Schizosaccharomyces pombe: one gene and its partners. Changing the gene in region 1 together with any one later gene gives a genetic interaction. Each region holds a gene or a part of one and is shown in the gene's direction. Other genes may lie near its edges.

Region 1 (3,886 bases):
TTAATACATTACTACATACTTTGTTAAACAATGATTAGTGACAGTTCGTTTCGGATAATTTTATTCATAAACTATAAGTAAGCTATAAACTATTCCTTGTGCATCTCTCAAAAAGAAATCAGAAGTTAATGGAGAACAAAACAGCTTCCACACAGTTAATGATATCCTTGAAAAAATATAGAACACCTTAAAGTATGGGTCAGTAAAACAGCCAACACAAAAGTCAGACAAACAGACGTTGAAAAAGAAAGAAACAAAAGGGAACGAGAAATCTCAGACTGACGTGCAAATCAGATGGAAAAAGTTTCAGCATACGATGCTCAGTTGAACTATGCTTTTTTGGAATCATCAAAGAAATCCTTTCTCCATTTACTTTTCCAAACGTCAATTCTAACAGTAGAAAACTTACCTTAAAAGTATAACATATACTAAATTCACAAGTCTTCAAGCTTGAAATTTAAGTATCCATACACAAAAGCGCAGTCACAGTGATCAAAATTTCGGCTCACAAATGCCCCAGTATTTGTTAGAAATGCAAGAAGATTAATGGAACAAATTTACTTTAATTCTACAGTTTTAAAGATAAAAAAGAAAGTCATAAACTTTCCAATCCCATAATCCAATTTACCAATGAGATGATTATAATTGATGTTTTAAGAAATCGACTCTTTTATCTTTTGTAAATGCTGCTCAGCATTTGAGGCCGTTGTTTCGTGATATGTTTGTTTCTTTTGTAGTGCTTCAATATCTTCTCTTAAACTTGCCATTTCTGCGTCCAAATGTGTACGTACGGAAGCCAAATCGGATTTCATAAACCTGTAAATAAACAGTTAGTAAATGACTTTACATATAGATTGACAGTACGGTCAATTCCATTCCAAAAGTGCTGTTTTTGCTAATTCCGTATTCTTTCCCTATTTTTATAGAAAAGAAAATAAAAATACATGTTTCATTTTATGACACTTACATCTTTCCAAGAGAAGTATATACGGCCTTATCTTCTCCAACATCCTCTAACTCTTTTTTGGCTAATTCACTTATTTTTAGTGCCCGTTCCTTGGCAGCAATCTGTACCATTATGGTCCTCAGTTGTTGCTGTGAATCAACCGCTTTCTCTTGTATTTGACTAGCTAACTAATATGCCCAAAGCTCATTAGTTTACCATGTAACACAGTTAAAAAGAGGGAAATTCCTAACAAAATAATTCTCTTCTCAATGATGAAATACGTACATTTTGCATTATTTAAAGGAAACTTGGGTATATCTCAAGAACTTATTTTTTTTGGATTGAATTGCTCTTTCCAAAATTATGGTACAAAGAATAGTCCTTTTAATACTTTTTTTATAGACAAATCAAGAACTTTTTCAATATATTTGAATATACCACCTTTACAAGTATATCAAGTCTTAGGCAAAATGTTGGTTAGGCCTTAAGTACAAAGCTGGCATGTTACAAGCTACTTTACACTGCTTTTATTATCGGTACGTTTCGCAAATGTGAATTACATAATACGCCACAATTTGTAATAAATATTTTGTGAAATGTTTTGCCATATCCTTAAGTTCTTCCTTACATAAATTGTTGGCGATGGCGTTCACAAACGAATCTTCATTTCATTCCTTCTCTGTTTCAAATTTTTGTGGAAAAAGCATATCCATATTCTTACTAAATCGGATTTCTGGACTTTTCTATTGCTTTGGAAATCCATTATCCTTGTAGTTCACTCATTTGCGCCTCAAATCCTTTATAATTGGAATTGGCTGTTTACATTGATAATTTAGCATTTTTGCATCATACTCAACCCTTTTTTTCTTCTTTTATATTTGAGTTGTTGAATTTTTTTTCAAGTGACTGTAGTTTTTTCAACATTTTCCGTTTATTTATATTAATCCGCCTTTAAAATAATTAAGGCACATTCAAAGACCAATATAGGAAGCAATAACGACATCATGACTGAAAAACACACCCTTCGCCTCGCTGATCCTTCTGCTATTGATTCAATTATTTCTGTTGATGAGTTTCTACAAATCAAGGAACAATACGATGCAGAACAACCTCTGATTACTTTACAAACCAAATTTAACCTTGCTTGGGCATTGGTACGCTCAGATTCTACACAGCATGTACAACAGGGATTATCTTTGTTCTGCAGCATTTACAAAGATTCACCGGAAAGGCGTTTGGAATGCCTCTACTACATTGCTTTGTCCCATTACAAATTGAAGCAGTATGAAGAATCCCGTCGTTATCTCAATATGTTGTTATCCAAAGATCCAAATAGCCCAGAGGCTTTAAAGCTAAAAAACCGTCTTTACGATGCTGTTACAAAAGGTATGTTTATTTTAATAAAACTTAATGAGGTATCACATATGCATGAATGTTGTGTTTATGTTAGAAAGATGCGTTATAAATAATGAAAAGAATCATTACTAACCCGTTTTTAGAAGGATACATTGGAATGGTTGTGGTAGCTGGTGCAGTGGTGTCAGTTGCAGCTCTTGTAGGTTGGGCATCAAAACGGTTGTTTTCAAAGCGTCGTCCTTAAACCGTAAACGATATTAATCACAAGGGAGCTTTCTTTTGCATAAATTCTTCAATTTTTTCTCCTTACGAACAATAGGATTGTGGATGTATCCTTTTCATGAAACGCGTATGAGTTACGAAGGCTTTGGGAGACATTATAGTGTGCACTTTTTTTAGAAAAAGAAGATTATAAATCGAAGCTTGTTGTTTTTATTATATTATCTTTTCTTCTTACCCAGTTGATAGTTCTGAATTCGCTTGTGTTTCTTCTTAACAGCAGGGTAATAAATTTACCTCAAGGAGGTTTTAGATTGTTATAAAAAGAGAGTGAGTATTTATTATAAAAGCTGAATAAGTTCCTCCTTTTATACTAATTCAAAAGTTTTGTATCGATTAAACCAAAAAATATAATGATGGACATTAATGAATGATTTTACAATCCAATTCCCTCTTCCTGTTTGAACAGTTTATTAAGCCCAATAAAGAAAGAAAGAAAGAGTGTACCTTCGTCGATTTTCCAAGAAAACATCCAAAGACTCAAGTATTTGAGATGATGAGCTTTATAAACGAGATTTTGTTAAGACAGACTACGAAGCCTTTCCTCTAGCTTAGCCACTTGAGACTTCCGACCTTCCAAGTGACGTCCCAAAACATTAAGTTGTTGTTCCAGCATTTTTAAGTCATTATCAATGGCGGAAGCGCTGGGGCCATTTGGTCCATCATTTTTTAGAGATTGAAGGATACCCAACTTATAGTCAAGTACTTTCTGTAAATCACGTTGAATAAGCTTTGACTTATTTTGTGCAATGTTAACATCGTCAGTTTCACGTTGAAGGGAAAGAATCTTTTCGTCCAATTTGGACAGCTCATTTCTTAATGAAATCAGCTCCCAGTCAGAGTCTCTCACATCCCTCGGGGCATCAAGATCACTCTTCGGCTTCGCACCACCCGTAGATGGAGCCATTGTAGGTGAAGAGTAATAGTTATTAGTAGAGTTGTAGGAATCTAAATTATAATCGATATTTCCTCTCTTAAAACTAGCCTTTAAACTGTACGGGACATCATTAGGAATACGGAATCCGTTGGATCTCTGAGTAAGGATGTGCAAAAATACTAAACACTGATCTTTCTGTATGGTTTCAGTACCCTGAGGATTGACAAGTTTCCAAGCCTTCTGAATTTGAGAGTTGGGAACCCCAAAAGGAGTAAATACAGGTGCCAGGCCATTAAAAGATACTTCTCCGTGTTTATTGCAATGTAGGGAGTAAATATCGGAATATCGAATTTTATCGGATGGAGAAATGTACCAATCAAATCCATCTTTTAAAACGGCATCTTCCGGGTCGGTATCAAGCGAAGGTA
Region 2 (4,781 bases), on another chromosome or scaffold:
AAATTTAATTAAGATTAATAATTATAACTAATTTTGAAGAAATTATTATAAAGAAAATAAATACATTGAACATCAACACATCCCCTTCAATTCATATACAAAGTGCATTTCTCGATTTTAGGACTAACTTGAAACACAACGCACAAACATTTCCACAACTTGATCTTTGGTTTTGGCGTGAAGGTTGTTAGTGCTAAGCTATACATTACTCCTTATACTTCATCGGTAGCAGGCATGGAGTGCATTTGATAAGCTTGATTGTTGGATGATGATGGACTGAAAACATTACCAGCCGCATCATACGAGGTACCATCAAAATTTATTGGAGGTGACCTATTTTTCGATTTGTCGGGTCTATTTGTATCGCCCTGCGTTGTTGTACCCGCTGAAGACTCACTAGCTGCATCCCAACTAATAGTTGGCTGCGATGTAGAATACGACGGAGGAGGAGCCAAGCTTCCAACCGCAGGAGCGAGTCTCCATTTCTTGATGTTTGCTTCAATAAATACATATCCTGCTTGTCCAAGATTGACATGTAAGGTACAAGGTCCAATTGCACCAACCGTAGGATACAAATTTCGATATGTACACGGCAGTTCTGCACACCGACGACCGTTACGTGTAAAGAAGATCCGATTGCACTTCGGTTTGTAACCAACACCAATTACATCTCCCTGCTGGTAGAAAGAGGAGTACGGTTTTCCCGTAAATGGTGAATTACTGCGGCGTGTTCCATCCGACACATAAGCAGTAGACCAAAAATTCCAACCAGGCAATCGAAACGGCGGATATGGCTTGGTAGCCAGACCGATGGAAACCAAGGTATCAATAGGTACGTCTAAAAGTTTTACTTCAAAATAGTATACTTCATTGATCCTCTGCAAAGGCAAATTGGTTTGCATGCAACATTCTTCGTTGCCCAAAAAAGACAATTCAGTTTTATTTTTAACATAGCAATTATATTCCTGATTTGGGATAAAGTGCCATGCTAATACGCCCTTCTCTTGAACTTGTAGGAAGTCAAGCAGCTTTGCATCCGTGTTGACGTTAGATTTCATGGAATTCAACTCAAACTCACGAGCTTGTAAATACCGTTCTTTCCCCATATCATCCAATAAACTAAATCCTTCTTCATCAATATGTTCATTCTCTAACGCTTCGTCGTCCAACTCACCAGGATTGGTGTTTTTCAGCAAGATCCGTCCATGTCGTGTGTATCGCAGTAATAAGATGACTGACAAAAGACAGATTAAAAGAACAATGACAGCGGCTAATGCAATAAATATGAAAAGGATTGCTAAATTAGGATGGGTGTTTGAAGATTCCTGTAATCTCAACTGGCGAATCTGATCGGGATGCATGACTCAAAGACGCAAAAAATAATTTTTTATATAAGATTTGAAAAAGGAAAATCTGCGAGTGTATATTTAATAGAGAAATAAATAACTGAGAGTAAAATCCTAGCTATAAGAGGATATAGTATAGGGTTAAGAGAAAAAGGATTTTTCTCTCAGATATGCAGTTTATTAAGCACGAGATACAATATTTAAATCTAACGTAGATGCAAGTATCTCAAATATTGCACTAATATGGTTTTTGCGAATGCTCAAGGATTGGGCGAAATGGTATACTTGTTTCAAGTTTACAGGAGAAAATACAAACTCCTTTAAATAAATAAGATATAATTCTTAAGATAAAAAAGAATTTATTCCTGAAGGAGCCACAATGGCCTGTTGTAAGGTAAAATCGAAAATCAGCGGCAATTTACCAGATAATACTGCTCCGTCACAATTATGCTTATAAGTTTTCTGTTTTTACAACCATAGATTGGAATTAACCAAATTTTTATTCGAAAATTTACTTTGATTCGTTCAATGTTTGCTTCCGGATTTCAGATGGTAATGGGAAAAGGAAGGTTACGAAGCACCACGTAAAGGCCACATGGATACTACTCCGTCCATTAACCAACAACACCTACCATGTCAGGGTCTCGAAAACAAGAAGCAATAGACGAATTAAGGAACTCTCTTGATGTTCCTGCTGATACTGCTCAATCTGTTTTGGAATCATTTAATTGGGACGTTCAGGTATGTGACACGGCAAGCATTCATTTTCAGTATTCGATAGTGATCAATTGCTTTGATTGAAAAATTCCAAGAAAGTTGTTATTTGCAACTGAACATTCATGGAATCCTCTGGTTGTCGTTTATTTTTCTAATCGAATTTTCGGTGAATGTTGGGACTGAGCCATTTTGCTAACTGTTTTATGATTAGGAAGCGATCGAGAGTTTAACTGGAGAATCGTCAAGAGTCGATAGAAATTCAAAGCTTGGATTAAGTTTCGGCGTCTTTCAATCTGTTTTTTCTTTGCTATTCAGTGGGTTGCACAAACTATGGATGATTTTGTCAAGGGTTCCTCTGATTTCAACATTTATCCCCATTTTTGGTACTACTAAGCGTGTCCTTTCTCCTGCAGACACTGCGAACAAGCTGGTTCAGAATTTAGAAGAGCAATACGGTACTGAGCATATTGATTTTTTTACTGATGGCGGCTACATGGAAGCGTTGACACGTATTAAGCGTAATTATGGAGTCGCATTGCTTTTCTTTACTAGCTCAAAGAATGATGACTCTGAGACGTTTTCCAGGAGTGTTCTTATGAACCAAGAGCTAAAGGAATTTTTAAATCGTCGAAACATTCTTTGCTGGACTGGTGATGTTTGTGAGGATGAGGCTTTCCGAGGTTCTCGTCAATTCCACTGCACTAAATTTCCCTCCGCAGTCCTTGTTATGTATTCACCTCAGCTATCTGAGCTTGTAGTTGCCGCCCAACTCCATGGATGTCTTGATAGTTCCAGCATCATTACCAATCTAACTAATGCTTTGGCTAAACATCTTCCTTCTCTTGAGCGTTTCCGTTCGGAGAGAGAAGCACGAGAAGCTGCTCGCGAGTTACGACGTCAACAAGACAATGCCTATCAAGCGTCCCTTGCCCGCGATCGCGAGCGTCAAGCTTTCGCGAGAGCAGAAGAAGAGCGTCTTGCAAAGGAGAAAGAAGAAAGAGAAATCGTTCAGAAAAAGAAAAAACAATATCGTGCTTGGCTTGCTTCTAATCTTCCACCGGAGCCATCATCTGAAGATGAACCTGCTCGTCTTTCGATCCGTTTTCCCGACGGATCTCGGGCTGTTCGAAGGTTTAAGAAGGATGATACTGTTGAATCCGTTTACAACTATGTGGATTATATGCTTTTTGAAAAAGAGGAGCCTGAAGAATTCGGTCGCGCTACTTCATCTTCTAATCCGGTCACTCCACCAAGTGACTATAAGCATGATTTTCATTTTCAACTATATTCTTCTTTGCCCAGAGCTTTGCTGAAACCATCAGTGGCTATTTCTACTAACAAAGCCATCTTTCCAAATGGCACTGTGGTGGTGGAGCTGGATGATTGAAATTAACAAAATTGTTTGTCTTTTTAAATCATAATGACAATTTACGACTATCGACGTTTCGAATCCGTTTTTAAATACATTTCTAAGATTTGATGTATGATGAATTTATTTTCTCTTTTCTATTTCTACTACTGAATTAATTGTTGTTTATGGCATGAATGTCTACTGGACGCATTGACTTTTTATTTTGAGCAAACTTTCAATGCACCCTTTAATCTGAGTACATAGTCGATTTCCACTAGATTTTCTGTTCTTTGCCAAAAACCTTTTCTATGCATGTCATCTTCATCTCTGTTTTCTACGATTTTCTTTGCAATGGAGGACAAAGGCTAGTAATTTAGGCTTTGTAGCATAAAAGTTTTGCCAGCTTTCGTCTGTGATGAGTGAGGTATGTATTATGAACATAAATTTGTTTAAAATATAAATCTTTCTTTATTGCAATTCGAAAAAGTCTAGTGGCTTTGTTTCTAAACAGCTTAAATTTTACCTTTAAACTTTCATTAATGTTAAATTTTTATATAATTAATATACAAATTAGTGCATTAGATTCACTTTATGTCAAGCATTATGACCCCAAGCATGGAATTTCTCAACGTTTCTAACAAAATTGGAAAAGTAAAGCGGTGAAATTATTTCCTTTCAGACTGAGCAAGTTTATTTTACATTCCTTTCTGTAGCGTGTTTTATATTCCATTTACTGCTATGTCTTAAGTCATTCAAATTGAACCATATAAGGATACGTTCGATCACGTTACAATCATCGTAAAAAGGAGAATCGTCAAGTTGAACCTGTACTTTATTCTTTTCTGGGCAATAGCTGATAATTTACCTGGTTATTCTAGATACAAAGAATGTCCAGTCTTCAAAAACGCCCTGGCCCAGGTAACTCTAGTCAACCGACGTAAGTCTAGCAGGAACGAGCAGCATCATGAGTTTTGCTAACTTTCTTAAATAGTGAAAGACCAAGAAAAGAATCTATCCTTGATCTTTCTAGATATCAAGATCAACGAATTCAAGCCACGTTTACGGGGGGCCGACAAATTACCGGTATTCTAAAAGGATTCGATCAGTTGATGAACCTTGTACTTGACGATGTAGAGGAACAGCTTCGCAATCCTGAGGATGGTAAACTTACTGGAGCTATTAGAAAGTTAGGTCTTGTAGTCGTTCGTGGAACAACTTTAGTTTTGATTGCTCCCATGGATGGTTCTGAGGAGATACCGAATCCATTCGTCCAAGCTGAATAAAAAGCCACAAGCCCTTCATTTGATGTTTGACTATTGTTAATAAAATACTACAAGTTAATTATTATACCGCATGTGCATGTTTTG
Region 3 (3,676 bases), 2.2 Mb from region 1:
CACCCGAGCGAAAAGTATCGCAGGCAGCAACTAAGATTCGAAAGTTGTTAGATAAAAGCCAATACGCTATTTTAGCCAATGTTGTAGATTTTCCAACACCATTGACGCCAATGAGAGAAATGGTATACGGACGGTTTTCGTTTTTGCGTACAGAACGAATACTATGCAAAAGGTCCAAAGATGTACTTGGGGTGAGTATTTGAGTAAGCCTATCCCGAAAGGCCTTGTTTACTGTGTTTTTCACAGTATCAAACGAACCAACTTTTTTGTTTATCAACGAAGCCTTCACAGATTCACAAAGCTCCAGAGCTATAGAATTTGCGACATTCTTTTTTGTTAAATGTTCTTGCATTTGCTTTAAAATTGGACTAAGATCCTCCTCCTTCAAGTATTTCCCACCTATTAAGTTGGAGAAAAGGGAAAACGCAGAAGATGCAGATTTATTGGAAATTGTTTGATTGGGATCCATTTCCAAATCACTTATAATAACATCACCACTACCAGTCTTTTGAAACTTATTATTATTACCCACAATAGAAGAAAGTTGGGAATTATCGACTGTTTGGGAAGCAGAAGATGCTTGACTAGAATAGTTCAATGCAGCCTGTTCTTCCTCAGTTATTTGATCATCCCATTTTCTGAGTTGCTTCTTTCCTTTTTTAGGGGCATTTGTTTGCTTGGATTGAGCGCCTTTTTTCTTCATTTCATATTCATTTTTCTTTCTTGCTGAGTTATCATTATTAGCCTCAACAGGTAAAGATTTCGTGTCTGTTTCATTCTCCAGTTGTGCTGATTTACGATTAAAAATGGGAGCGAACAGTTTTTCAACTTCTGCTTCATTAGGAACTTGACGATCTTCTAATTTTTCTTTAAATAGATTCAGAAATATATTATGAGCACTATTAAGCAGTGATTGAGAATATGCCATACATTTCAAATCTTGAAACACAACCTAAAAATTCAACCGCGTTAATTAAGTTCAAATGACACGATAAAGGTATGGCTTTGACTTTGACAAATAATAGAAAATCAAAGATAAAGTATAAACAAAAAAATTTTTGGACCTCATTTTGGGTGTATAGTAATTGACAATTTCTGTCAAAGCACAAATCACAATATATTAAACTTACCACAAAAACTATGCTATATTGTGTAGCCTCTTGATACTGCATGGTGTACCGATCAAATGTTACGGTGTTGTTCACCGTTCTTTGCTCACTTAAGAAAGCTTCGTGAAATAAAACTTGAAGGCATTTCAAATTAACAAGAGAATTTGTTTTTTTCCAAAGTACTATGCCTCCTTTATTAACTATCGCAAACAAGTCAATCATTCCAGGCTCAATCACAAATGGCTTTAAAAGTAGTAAACTACTCACCAACTAAGAAGGAGTGTTCTTGATTAAACACATTGCTCACTGCCGTACAATACATAATAACGCACTATACCAAATCTATGGTGCTAATTGAGTTAAGCTATTTGCTTAAACATATTTTTCTTAACGTATTTTAAAGATTACCTTAAAACTTGTTGTATGCAATATTATACAAGGATAGATGCAATTTGAGACTAAAGGTTGATATTAACAGTAGGCTTTCGTTTCAACCAAAATTGTTTATACTTTTATATTAATAAAAAATGCCACTAAATAAAAAAGCTATTTTTTTACTGCTATTTGAAGGTGCGTTTTAAGTAAGGGAGAAATGAGCATGAATTCTGTAATCCAAATAAAGAGGTAAAGGGAGCACACACTATTCCATGTCTGGGCAACGAAAAATTCCTGAAAAGCTTCACAACTCTCATTGTACGAATGTGATTATTCTCAAGACTATTTTCACTGTAATTTTAAACTTTCCTTCCTACTTATAATCTGGCCGATTTTTGCCATTTTATTTTTTTTGTTCATTGTAATACGCTTAGTCGCAAACAAGTGAGTTATCATAATAACTCTGATGAAGCGAAAAGCCGTATTAGAAGCATTCAGCGATTCTGAGGATGAAGATGAAAAAAAATTAAAAGGTCCTCAACTTATTACTGGATTTAGCGCTGAAGAGGGAGTTCATTATCAGAATGAAACTATTCAGCGCATACACGAAAAGAAAAGAGCGCCAAAGATAATCCACATTGCAAGTGATGAGAACTGGATGGAAAAAAGAAAAGCCAGGTTTAAAAAAAAAGAAACAGAAGTTCATGAGAAACCTTCACAATTGCCAGATAGCGGCTTAAATTATGGTCTAAATATTCGGGTGGCTTCTTCATCAGCAGCGGATAATGAAATTGTGGACTGGAAGGCAAATAATTCAAATGAAAAGGCTCAAAATAAGATAGCCACAAATAAAGAAAGTACTGATATTCTTCCTGAAGAAGTCCAACTTGTCCTTAATGATTTAAATGACGATGTTAAAAGTGCTAATTCTGCCAACTTACAGCCGATTACCACTAATGTTGTTAACGAGAAAGATGCATATAGAAAAGACATTGACGAGCTTCCGGAGCCTTCTAATATGAAAGATTACTCGGAAATTCCGGTTGAAGAATTTGGCGCCGCCATGCTTCGAGGAATGGGTTGGAATGGTCAATTATCTTCTAAAGATGCTTTTGATGTTAATCAAAGGCCGACGTTTTTGGGTATGGGAGCCAAGCCTGTGGATTCCGAACTTACTGAGCTGGATATTTGGAAAAATCCAAAAAAGACTATGTTTCTTCCTGTTAAGCCTCTAGAATCAAATTCCGCTCTGAATTCACAAAACGAACATACTGAAGTACAGAAGAAGTCAAATTCCATTGACAACTTAACTCCCAGTTCAGAACTATTCAGAAAAAGAAGCCGAGATAACAACCTCTCAAGAGAGTCTTCAGTGAGCAGTAAACATTTAGATTATAATTCACGAAATTACAACAAACGCGATAGAGATCCAGACAGAACTAAGTATCGCGAATACCATTCGGAGCGCCGGAAACAACATCGAACAGACCGTTATTCAGATGATTACTATCAAGGAAGGAGTTATTCATATAAAAAACGTTCTCATAGAAGCGATAGATATACTGAGAGAGAAAATCCAGATAGAAGTTACAGAAGTACTCGTACACTTTAATGAATTTACGATTATCTTACTTTTTAAGTACCACAGTTACTAGAGTATCCTTTCCAAATAACCAAAAAATTGTTTATCAGTCATAAACGAAATAAAACATCTCATTATATTGCTCCGTAGTCCACATGAATAATAAAAATAGTAATCGAAGCTTTCAACCTTTATTCAAGAGCTTCGTGAAATGCTTTCCATTCATCGACGGTGAAAATTTCAGGAAACTCTGACTTAAATTGTACGAGCGACTTTAATAACTCGTTAGTATTTGCGACAGACACTTTATTTTTCTGGAATAAATAAAGTGTATGAAGAGATTTGGTAACACAATCCTCATCGACAGAATGTTCAAGACTGAATTGATAAACTTTTTCTGGAATCTGAAATTCGTGTGCCTTTTGAAGAATAATTTGTTTTGATTTATCTTCTTGAATAAGTAATGCATAGAAAAAAAAGATAACTCGTTTTGTCATAACCGAGTGTTTAAGCTCCAAGATTTCAATCAGCATTTCCCAAGAGTTTGGGATTTTATCTAATAAAGCAATTCCAGCTTCGTTAAGTTTAAGCTCACTAGTTATTGCATAAA

What was found.
Region 2: mutations in fis1 (region 1) and dsc5 together harm fitness more than expected from each alone (negative genetic interaction), as found in Schizosaccharomyces pombe (one large-scale study listed by BioGRID).
Region 3: mutations in fis1 (region 1) and cwf28 together harm fitness more than expected from each alone (negative genetic interaction), as found in Schizosaccharomyces pombe (one large-scale study listed by BioGRID).

Annotation. Positions count from the first base shown.
Region 1 is NC_003423.3:1,755,857-1,759,742, forward strand, and holds fis1 (protein Fis1), read left to right. Parts: upstream 1-1,603; 5' UTR 1,604-1,950; coding exon 1,951-2,332; exon of another isoform or gene 2,333-2,445; coding exon 2,446-2,546; 3' UTR 2,547-3,101; downstream 3,102-3,886. Other genes in the region: pfd1 (prefoldin subunit 1), read right to left, coding at 654-816, 968-1,134, 1,232-1,240; actin cortical patch component End3, read right to left, coding at 3,102-3,886. UniProt on the Schizosaccharomyces pombe protein: Has a role in mitochondrial fission. Has a role in outer membrane fission but not matrix separation.
Region 2 is NC_003421.2:1,814,123-1,818,903, forward strand, and holds dsc5 (UBA/UAS domain-containing protein), read left to right. Parts: upstream 1-1,962; 5' UTR 1,963-1,979; coding exon 1,980-2,087; exon of another isoform or gene 2,088-2,274; coding exon 2,275-3,450; 3' UTR 3,451-4,281; downstream 4,282-4,781. Other genes in the region: SPRY domain membrane protein, specificity factor required for ubiquitination Ear1, read right to left, coding at 213-1,361; U6 snRNP-associated protein Lsm7, read left to right, coding at 4,302-4,351, 4,406-4,697. UniProt on the Schizosaccharomyces pombe protein: Involved in protein degradation through the ubiquitin/proteasome pathway.
Region 3 is NC_003423.3:3,991,112-3,994,787, reverse strand, and holds cwf28 (splicing factor Cwf28), read left to right. Parts: upstream 1-1,802; 5' UTR 1,803-1,950; coding exon 1,951-3,096; 3' UTR 3,097-3,176; downstream 3,177-3,676. Other genes in the region: signal recognition particle receptor alpha subunit Srp101, read right to left, coding at 1-952, 1,131-1,331; fes1 (Hsp70 nucleotide exchange factor), read right to left, coding at 3,258-3,676. UniProt on the Schizosaccharomyces pombe protein: Involved in spliceosome maturation and the first step of pre-mRNA splicing.